3 linked regions of the Drosophila melanogaster genome follow. Changing the gene in region 2 together with the main gene of any one other region gives a genetic interaction. Each region holds a gene or a part of one and is shown on either strand. Other genes may lie near its edges. The genes, in order: upd1, Cdk4 and Rbf.

What was found.
Region 1: of Cdk4 (region 2) and upd1, changing one suppresses a phenotype caused by changing the other (phenotypic suppression), as found in Drosophila melanogaster (one study listed by BioGRID).
Region 3: of Cdk4 (region 2) and Rbf, changing one suppresses a phenotype caused by changing the other (phenotypic suppression), as found in Drosophila melanogaster (2 studies listed by BioGRID).

What each region holds. Positions count from the first base shown.
Region 1 is NC_004354.4:18,307,692-18,311,446, reverse strand, and holds the start of upd1 (unpaired 1), read left to right. Parts: upstream 1-2,155; 5' UTR 2,156-2,638; intron 2,639-3,187; exon of another isoform or gene 3,188-3,710; 5' UTR 3,711-3,755.
Region 2 is NT_033778.4:16,577,364-16,581,118, reverse strand, and holds the start of Cdk4 (Cyclin-dependent kinase 4), read right to left. Parts: upstream 1,650-3,755; 5' UTR 1,586-1,649; intron 1,556-1,585; exon of another isoform or gene 1,193-1,555; intron 1,014-1,192; exon of another isoform or gene 426-1,013; intron 287-425; exon of another isoform or gene 278-286; 5' UTR 207-277; coding exon 104-206; intron 1-103.
Region 3 is NC_004354.4:799,838-803,592, forward strand, and holds the start of Rbf (Retinoblastoma-family protein), read right to left. Parts: upstream 1,643-3,755; 5' UTR 949-1,642; coding exon 760-948; intron 681-759; coding exon 541-680; intron 480-540; coding exon 291-479; intron 229-290; coding exon 1-228. Other genes in the region: CG13359 (uncharacterized protein), read right to left, coding at 2,108-3,589.

The sequences.
Region 1 (3,755 bases), on a different chromosome or scaffold from region 2:
GATGGTTCTCCTTATGGCACATCTACAGATACTTGTATCTGCATCTGTATGTATCTCTATCTGTATTTGTATCTCTCGGTTAACCTTCCGTCTCGAGGTCGAGGTGTTCGCTGTGGCAATTAAAGCGTATCCTTAGCATTCGCTACGCCGCTAAAAAATTACACCATGACAGGACACAATGCGTTCTGGACGGGCGAGGACCTCACAGGACAGCTCAATTTTGTAGCAAAATATTTTTGTTGTCCAGAACGAATCGCAAGTAAAACAGAAAGTCGAAGCTGGACGACTGGGTGTGGGGTTGCCTCCCCGCCGGGAATGCTGTGTGTGTGTGTACCGACAGCAGCAGCAGGAGCTCATCAACGCAATAATCGTGTCCATCTCGGGCGTACGAGTATCCCGATACCGATACCGATCCCGATCCATCCTGACAGCATCTAGGAGATGAAGCTGTTGCTCCGGGTGCGAATTGCCCTTTTTGTGCCTTGCCGCCCGTTTCCCAAAGGAGAGGTCGCACAAAAGGTGTGCGCTGCCACCTTGATATATGTGATATATGCGAGCGAGTCCCTCTCTGTGGGTTGTGGGTCCTGCGAGATTCGAGTCCTGTGCGTCCGTCCTGCCTTGCGGCGAAATAAAGGCGAGTGGCCCCGCTGCGCAACACAACTGCTTCCTGCAGCAGTTGCTGCACGCTGCACTTACGGTTAGACGCAAGGACACACCGTCCGCTGTCCGTTTCGGCCCGCTATCTGACCATCTACAGCTGTTTTCGGCTGCCCAAAACAATGCGGCCATAATGCAGCAAAACTCTCAATTTAATTAGACCGTCAATTGTGCAAGCCCTCGAAAGTAGGGAGAAATATGGGCATATTTGACATAGGGATGTCCTAGGTAGATGGGCGTCCGGGGGTTCGCCAGTTGGGAGTACCTGGCCCACTGGCCAGAGATTTCACACTCTTCTTCTAGTTACCCACCCAAAGCGGAATTGCGACAATATCAAGCCGAACTCATCGAGATGGTCAAATATCAGCGCTGCGATTATCAAAATAAATAATTTGAGGTGAGTTATAAATGTATCAAAAAATGATGAAACAACTTAATGTTTTACGATTTTTATGTAAATCTTTATTAATTAATTACCCATACGAACAGATTTAGGCATATATATGTATATTATTAACTTCATTTAAACAACTTGAATCATGTCAAATGAATTTGAATGGTATATACATATATAATAGATTGTGAGTGCCAAAATCACTACTTCAGTTATATTGATTGTGGTTCGAACACGTATAAATAATATTACTATAAAAATGTATATATTATGTATTATTATATATATTACTACTGGTATTGAGAAGAATTGTAACTGCACAATTGGTTGATTCCTTAGTGCTTTATCCTATTTTACGCTTTATTCCTTATAATTACTAAATTAATTTTAATATACAAAATATATAGCAATTTACTAGTTGTTAGAAAAAGTTGAAGAAAATGTAATATTGGTTAACGTTCCTCGTGGATAGTTCTCGAATGGATAGTTTACCTGGATTAGCGAGCTGAATAGCGGTGTTATGTTGGTCATTTCCGTTGATCACTTTCTAGACCGATTTGAATGTCAGGACTTTTTGGGAGGGGTGAGCAGGCCGCTCAAGGTCACCCAGAGAGTTTGAGAGAGGGAGAGAGAGAGAGGACCTAGCTGACCGGGCTTAGAAGAGTGAGACAGAGCCAGGTAGGCCTGGTCTTTTGGGGCACCAGGTAGGCTGCCTCTCTTCTTTTCCCGCTCTTTGAGTGAGTGACGCGGATTGGGCAAGTGGGAAAATTCCAGTTGCAATGGCGACCGGCCCAAGATCGCCCTGGTCCGCAGGAGCGAGCGGGATGGCGCGCGAGGACAGCCGGTTGGCAGGCTCAAAGACGGCACCAATACACACTTCGGCCAGGTAGGCGCATACGCACACACGTGCAGGTGACCTGGGAATAGGATACCCCGAATACGATCGGTGAGAGCGGGCGCGGGAGCGGGACAGCCTGCGGTTCTTCGGATCTGAATCTGATCGGTCCGAATCGGCGGTCTTCTTCTGGCTCGGACCATGGCGTACCGCTCGTCGGCACTCGGCGGGCAGCGACGCCGGCAGAGGCCGCTCAGCTCGCCTCAGTTCCCATTTCAGTTTCGGTTTCGGCCTTTTGGCGCTGCTCATCGGTCGGTCGGTTGGTCGGTGGTCGGTCGGTATCGCTCTGGTATTCTGGTATCTGGTATCCGCAGCCTCTCAGCGAAGAAAGCTGGTCAAATCCAGCGCGACTTTGGGCTCAGTTCGGTTTCACACTCGAACGCGAGCAGAAGTGTCCGCGAATCAGTCTCCAAAGCATCGAAATCACCAAATCAGAACACAAACTGAAGCACGGATTTGAACTCGATCTGTGGTCAAGTGGTCTCACAAATATTATATATAAATACATTTTTTTGCGAGTGTTGTGCTGCAAGTGTGTCCATTGAAAACCGCCGGAAAATCAACGAACAACGAATCTCGAACGATCATCGAACATTTGGATTAACGTACAGACTTTTGGGAGCTCAGGCGCAGCACAAACCACGGGGATCCCGCGAGGATCCTGAACGATTCCATTTTTCATCTATAATGCGGTGTGTGTATTATTTTTAATTTGATCAAGACTTAAGAGCAGGCACAATTGGAGAGTGGAGAAGCGATCGAAAAGGATATTTTGGTCAATATCAATTCTCCACTCTTCAAGTGACTTATCAACAAGAAACGACCAACGATCTACTGTTAAGCAAAAAGGACATTCTGTGACAGCAACTGCAATTTTGGGAATTAGGATTAAATTATATAGTTTAATTAATTCGCTCTGCATTAAAATGCAAATCCATTCAGGATATTGTTACTTGTGCGAATCCTTTCCGTTCGTTTTTAGCAGCAAACGATCTTCAGTCTCGAATTTTAATCCTGTCAGATAAAGTAGCTAACTTGAATGGAGAATTTGAAATGTTCAAATTTTAGAATTAGCCCCAAATCCAAAATTCAACCTCAAAAGTTTCCATACACTTTCACACACTGGAAGTTAAAGCCAAGCCAAGCCAGAAGGCAGAGATTTGTCGCCTGGAGAAGATTAGATCCTCGAAACTTGGATCGATACGTCTTCGTTATTCGCTCAGGCTACTCTCGAGTTAATTGTCTAAATTAAAAAGTTTCCCCGCCCTCAATATACACACATATCGCTCTGGAAAAGACAAAAAAAAAAAAACAACGAAAAGCAAAAAAAACCGCAAAACAAACATAGAGAAAATGTTAAAAAAATCGAACCAAATTGTTGAGACTGTTGTCTGGTTGCAGTTGCATTCGCATTGAAGGAGGCTCGGCCGATCATCCGACCCGTAATCCCGATCACCTCAGAGCTCCAGCATCGAAGCACCCGACCACCCAATCCCACCCAGTAACCCATCCACTCCCAAGGGAGTCCAGTTAGTTAACCATCTAGTCAGGGAGGAACAGTGATAGCAGTTGATCGTTGGTCGTCGCGCGTTGTAGCAGAAAATTGAATTTACTTTTGCATTCTCGATACTCATAGTGTTTTTTCTCCACATCTCTTCCCTTCTGACCCCCCATCCCCACCCTTCACATATATCCTATATATATATATTGTAACCCCGTTCGCTGTATCTGCACACTGATTTCGATACGGACCGCGGACAGTAGTTGGTTGGCAGTGCGCTGCGACCACAGCTAAAAACAGCACCACGG
Region 2 (3,755 bases):
ACAAGCGACCAGCAAACGAAAGCCTCTCGTGCGAAGAGAGCCGGACCTATCCCAACAACAAAGCAACCGCGTCCCATTATTAAATCCCACCCAAGTCGCTCACCTTCGCCGATGATGTTGAGCTCCTGGTAGTTGAACGGATCGCCATCGCCGAACTTCTTCGCCTGGGACATTTTCTGCCGCTTCAGCTGGCGTACATATGACATTTAGCTGGATTTTACGGTTATTTGCGTATTCCTCTAATATTCCGGGTAATCGAAACCGTTAGTTGCACCAGCTGGAAGTGAAGGGGTGTTTTTTTTTTGGTTATCGATCGTCTGCATGTCACGTATCGATATGTCCTTGTGTCCCCACGCGATAGTTCACACAGATCGTAGCGTGAGAGGGAGAGTGCGAGTGCGTGAGAGAGAGAGGGAGGGCCTTACCTGATTTCATACCTGTTGCCTTTTCTAGATAACCCCAAAACTGGCGATAAAGACTGGTGTGACAGGTGCGCTAATGGAAGAAGTCTGGCTATATGCTCCGCTATGCTTTTCTATCTCCGAGAACCGAAAACCGAAACATATACATGGACAACTACATATGTATGTATGTATGTAGATGGCGGCGGTCGTTGAACCGCGTTTAATGTTTTCGTACATACTCCGTTTTTATGTCTAACCAATCGCAGAACGGCAAAGGCCAACACTAGTTATGACTTATTCATGTTATTCAGTGACGCTGCTCGCCGTCTCCGTTTTGCGGCTTCGTTCGTGCATCCTGTTGCTCTTATTCGAGCTTGACTGTGAACGCTGTACTGGTTATCTACTGTCGCGTTAGTTGGCGTGTGTCCACTATTCTCTCCTATCTAAAGTGCTACCACTTTTCTGTCAGTGCATTTTTTTTGCCCGAAAAATATACATATACCGCAAAAAAGAACCCGAATACAATGTATTTTGTTGCTGGCATTTGTCAATTAATTCTAATCGCGAGACAAGCGAAACAACAATAATAAGCGACACAGTCACAAAACTGGGTAGAAAGAGAGTGTCCAGAATTGTGAAAGGTATTACGAGGTATTACGAGCTGTATATTTGGGTCTAAAATACATAGTTATTGTTGCACCAGTTTTCGCCCCCTCTCTCTCCCTCGTCATCCCTCTCTCGCTCACCATTTGCGCTCTACTGATAAGGAAATTTCGGCTTCACTTTACTTTTTTTTCGGTGAACTTCAATGCCAATGTTGTCGTTTTTCTTTCAACCGTTGTGCGAAATATTAGTTAAATATTAAGAAAATGTGGTTTTTATTTGCGAAGACTCGAACACACACACAACGCCGCTAAGTGATTTCGCTTGAGAGATCGGTCTTACACACACACACATACACAAACACAAACGCACACACCGAGTGGTACACACACACAGGCGCAGGTATTATGTATACATATATGATTTTTATTCGCTTTGACGAAATTTTGGCATTTGTTGATAATCCAGCTAGAACCGCACGATAGGAGCAACGCGACGCGAATTTTCGGTGCGAACACGGTTCAGTTGCCGGCAGTCGCACTTTAATTAAGTTTTTAAAACGTCTTATAAATTTTTACCAATATTCGTAAGAGTTGAGTGATTTTGTGTTTTGTTGTTGGCACAGCTCTGGAAACTGTTTTAGATGGTCTACTTAACAGTGGCTTCTCTTCGCCTGTTATCGCCCGCTGTTAGCAAACAGACGGCCGCTAACATTGTGCTGTATACGTCCAATCGGTTAAACGGTTAATTTCGAAATTGCTGCCAGCGATCGTTATTGAATGTTATTCCAATTCGATAACGTAAGTGTTATTGTGTTATACTAATGTTATTGATTTCTGGGAATTTGATATTTTCAACTTGTAATAATGCCCAAATTTATTTTTTTTGCAATGTGAATTTCAGGCATTTATATATGTAACATATATAAATTACAAATAAATAAATAATAATAAACATAATGAAAATAATATTTGAAAAAAATTTTTATTACATACGATAAAATGTGAAAATTTTAAAACTGTCGTGGTCAACTACAATTGGTCGGCCATAATTAGTTAACTCCAAACATGTGTGTCATTGACTTTTAGCATTTTTAGGATTTGGTAAACTTAAATTTTTATAACCCTGCAAAATAATACAAAATTCTGGAATAAAATGTCTTAATGATCTAGATTGGCGGCATAATTCAATTTGTAACTCAATCCGGCGATAAAGTCACTCGTTGAATGTATAATTTATTGACATGAGTTGAATGCCAAAAGTCGCTCAACATTTTTTTGAGTGAAAGCTTGCTTACCGATTTCCAACGATCTGGCCGCACTGCCAATTTCGAAATCGAATCAAGGCATTCGCAGTGGGGCGCGTAAATTTAAAAACAATGTTGCAAATACATTGTGAAACCAATAAACGCATTTAACAAACCGCCTATCACAAATGTTACCCATTGGATTGGCGAAAATTTCCATGTTTTTTTTTGGGGAAAAAGCGCGATTAATTAGTAACGAAATCAAATTAGAGCACAGTGACGAAGTCAGCCGAGTGCTAATTACCACCAGCGGGTATCAGGCACCTAAATTATGCATGACGTACGCCTTTCCGGCTCAAAGTGAAAGGGCAAACAGCGAATGCGAATGCGAATGCGATTGGTCAGGATGGATGTGTTTTGTTGGGAAATGAAAATATCACTTTCCCAGACAGCCGGAACGTGCCCACCTTTCTCACCTTTGGTGGGCGCCAGTCGGCGATTGGCATTTGTGATTCAATTGCTGCAGCCCATCTTGGCCCACTTAGCACCTGGATGAGTCGTATTCCTTCGCGGAAGTCAACGCCCAGCCGTGTAGCATACCTCACCCAATTAGAACATATGCATTTCCGATTCCAAGCCAAACTGATTTCACAGAAAAAACTTTTCATGAATGAATAATGAATGAGTGTGCTATCAGGATTTCTGGGTATCATAATCGGCTTTGTCTTTCAACCGCCTGACAACTAATAATTTCCGAGGAAGCTGCCAACGGATTAGCCATTTAATTTGCATTAGTTTGTGTGTCTGGAACGTTGCCGGAATAATGGTATTATATGGTATACCGTTAGGATCCGGTCGAATCTGAAATTCACCGATCGGCAAATAGACGCAAGTCGCTGATAAGCATTTATATTTTGTTTTTCACTCTCTGACATTTTGTCGGCCTGTGACGAAGGCGCTTATCGGCGCTGGCGATTAATCTTATTGCGTTTCAAACCGGCTGCGAGCCAAAAAACTAATTAAATGAAATTTATTGTACAAATATTATGGTCAAAATGGCTTGGTTCTGGCTAAAAATACGCAAGAAAATGCCAAGCCAAACAAAGAGTCCAAATGAATCGCGCGTTCTGAGCCCGTTTTTTCTTCTCTATTTTTATTCTTTTTTTAATTCGGGGGTGTTGACGGGCAATTTGGCTAAATGTTAGCCAATTGAATAAATCAGCCAGCAGCAGCAGCACGGCAGTCTGCCGAAGCAACCGGTTGGCCATTGACACGGCCAAGACGGGTCTTGAAATCGACAAACTAATGCCACTTGGCCAACAACGTCACTGGCCCAGCGAATCGAACACACTAGTTCCAAACCCGAACCCCATCGATGATCGGAGATCGCAGTTCTGAGATGCGAGATCCAAGATCTGATCCACTGATCACGTGCGGCAAGAAGGGGGTTTTCTCTTTTGGCCAGCGGTATCCGGAGAACCGATCCAGTCGAGCGCGGCTCA
Region 3 (3,755 bases), on a different chromosome or scaffold from region 2:
CAGTTGCTCGGCAGGCCCTCGAATTTGGGGTTGATGAGATCGGTGCGCTTCTCGGCCAGCACATTGTTGTATATCAGGTCTATGCAGCAAATCATCAGATTGTAGGATGTCACCAGGTCCACGGTGTTGCTCGGCTTCTGGTTCTTGGCGCAGAGAAACAGGCGCCAGCAGATGTCGTCCAGCTTGATGTACGAGCACTTTCCGTGGGCGTGGTTGCCATGCAGAGAACTGTTCCAAAGAGGGAAGCTTTTTATATACACGGGGTCAGGCTGACATGATGATATACGCACATGTACTTGGAGTGCTTCTTCTCGTTGGGCGGGCACGAGAAGATCATGTCCATAATAATGCGGAAACGCTTGTGCAGCATGAATGTAATGCTGAACTTGCGGTCCAGATCCTCAATCTCGTTGACAAACTCCTGAGGCAGGTTGGCCATGTCGCACCACTGCTTAATTTTGGTCTTGAACTCGTAGATGCTGTGGGTGGGGATTGTGGAAATGGTTAGGTGTGAAACTGCAGGCATAAACGGCAACCCACCTCATCTTGCAGCAGCGCAGCAAATTGTTTAAGGACACACAATTACCCTTGACCACTGCATTCTGGCCAGTCACCGTGGGTGTGCTGGTTCTTCGGCAGGCCGTGTAAATGGCGCAGCACATCCAGTGGCTGGCTGTGCCCTTTTAGGCAGGCAATGCACAGAAAGAATGAAAGAAAGGACGTTAGGTTGGAGGCTACTGCTGCCACTTCGAAGCTCACCTCCATGGAGCACCTCTGGGACACCTCTAAGTACGTCTCGTAGCCCTGCAGCTCTGTCTGCCGATCCATGTTTAGATCCCGGCATAGGTTCGTGTACTCGGCGTTGATCATCTCCAGGCGGTCGTCGCTGGTCGCCACCAATCCGCTGACCACCTCAGCTCCCAGTTCCTGCGGGTCAGGCTCGCTCATGTCTGCGAATGATGTCTCTGTCCCGGCTGATTGCGTATGCTTGCAGCGGCGGCCGCTGCTTCTGGCGACAGCCTGGAGTCGGAAATCGGAGACGGAGGCGCCTGAATTGGAGCTAGCCGGCTAACCGGGGCGTTGCGGGCCTGGCGCCGCTGTTTACGTCTAGTGGCCTGGCGCCTAGTGGCTGCCGGTGTATGCTGCGCTTGCCGCCGCGCTCCTCGCGGACATGTAACTGCGAGAGCTTACACTTAATTACAGAAATAATGAAGTTTCCCGCCGAAATGATTTGGGCGTGTGTGTTTGTGTGCGAGTGTTTGTCGCGTGTGTGTGTGTTCGCGATACACCCTTTTCTGAGGAACACAACAAAAGAGCAGGCGAGGGGACAGAACAAACAGCGCTGGGATGCTGCGATTAGCCAGGACCACACCACGGCCACGGTTGTTGGTTAAAACACATTAACAAAATAACTATTTCACAACTTAATCGCCATGGAAAACGCGGGAAACTTGACTAGTTGCGGCGGGCAGGTGCGTGTGATCCACTCCGCGTTCGAACTATCCACTTCTAGGGCTGCGCGGACGATGTGGCCCTAGGGATGGACTTGTGCAGAAGGAAAACTAATTTATTGCCACTACTTAAAGATTTTGCAATTGCGATTGCATAGTCAGAGTCTGACACGTTAATACAAGTTAATGGATTTTTAGTTGGGCGGCCGGTATTTCGCCAGCAAAGCCATGCGGTCACACCGACGCGCGCATTCGGCCAGTTTAAACGTGGTGGGGTGGTATTACTACAGTGCTTGGCGAGTTATGCAGTGACTGCAAGCAGTATGTCGTGTTGCATACATACCTAAATTGGGGGACCCTAAAATGAATTAGAACGAAATAATTGACAAAAATATGTGTACACATATAATTTATTTGCAATGCACAATGCTATTTGCATGTGTGCGGTAAACTGACAGTGTTGGTTAGCGTTCAAGAGCATTGCACATCGGCGATATAGCTAGTTGTAATCGATAGCCGCAAATTTAAATACTGCTTTGAACTTTATGGAAATTCGCGGGAATTCTTCGCGATTCAGCTACTAACATACATACATATACACTATACAATTTAGAGAACTTGCTGTCGCAGCACATACGACCCGAGCTACGACGTGGCTAACGTAGATACCGTCTTCTGAACCTCCTGGCCAGGAGGTGGAATAGCATGTGTCGCCGCATAAAGGCCGCCGTCAGACCTGCCGCCGTGGACAGCTCGTGGTTTTCTTGAGAATCGCTGGCCAGACTGGAGCTCTCGAAGGAATTGGAGGAATTGAAAGAGTCAGAACTCTCTGCCTGCGTATTCTGATCCGCACCAGTTCTAGCACTTCTCCAAATGGGTGTTGAAGAGCCGTCGGACTTACAGCCACTGGTGTTGGTTCTGGAGTTCGGGATCTGGGTTCTGTCGGGATGCTTCTCCAGCACAAGGCAATGCTGTCTTTTGAACGGTTGACTAGCAGACACACCGTACTTGGCTATCGCGCGGTTGAGCTCAGGATCGGGGATGTATGCACCGCGCGACAAAGACTCCGTTTTTCCGATCGATTTTCTTTTGGAAATATACCCGCTGACATATCTTTTTGGTCTAGAGAAACGTCTCGCGGAGGTTGCCTTCTCAATAGTCAATTTCCTCGCGGAGGTTGCATTGTCAATGGTCAAGTTCCTCGTGGATTTTGCCTTGTCAATAGTCATTTTCCTCGCGGAGGTTGCCTTCTCAATAGTCAATTTCCTCGCGGAGGTTGCATTGTCAATGGTCAAGTTCCTCGTGGATTTTGCCTTGTCAATAGTCATTTTCCTCGCGGAGGTTGCCTTGTCAATAGTCAATTTCCTCGCGGAGGTTGCCTTGTCAATAGTCAATTTCCTCGCGGAGGTTCCCTTGTCAATAGTCAATTTCCTCGCGTTGGTTGCCTTGTCTATAGTCAATGTCCCCGCGGAGGTTGAGTTGTCAATAGTCAATTTCCTAGCGGAGGTTGCCTTGTCAATAGCCAAGATCCTCGCAGAGTTTGCCTTGTCAATAGTCAAGTTCCTCGCAGAATTTGCCTTGTCAATAATCAATTTCCTTCGCTCCGCCTCCTCCGTCTGCAAAGTCTTGTGGTGCACCTCAACGCGATCCACAAGATTCTTGGCCGCCTTCTGATCAGCTAAATTCATCTCTGCACGCACCTTGCGGAGAGCAAGGCAGTCAATGATGCTATGACTCTGCCAAGTGACCTCCAGGTCGGCGGGGATTGGTGTTCCCTCTGACGCCAAGCAGCCCTGACTCGTCATTACTTGTTTCTGGCAAATGTCCATGAACTTGTCTCGCCGGCTAAGCAACGCGTGAGGCGCCAGGTCCACATCCCCCAGTTTCCGGTGATTAAAGTGGGTGATTAGTTTTCCGGTATGCGAATTTACCCCCACGACGGTTGCGACATCGAAGTGCTCTGGACAGCGTATGCGCATCTCGCTGAGCGAGCAGGCCAAATCCAGATTTGACCGGCACCACACTACCATATCCTCCTCGTCGTCCTGTTGCGGCTCGACATAGGGAATTAACCGCTGCAAGTTCGGACGCGGCGTTCCCACGTCGCAGAGGGCATTAAAAGATGCAGAGCATTTCATTTCTAAATATAAAATTTATATTTTTTTGTACAAAAACTTCAGGCCAACTTATAAAACTGTGTGAGGGGAAACTGCATACATATTCGATTGAACTGAATATTCCAATCTTAGGATTCGAAAAATACTATAAATTGTTATGGCTAAATACTCGGGCTGATCGCTATCT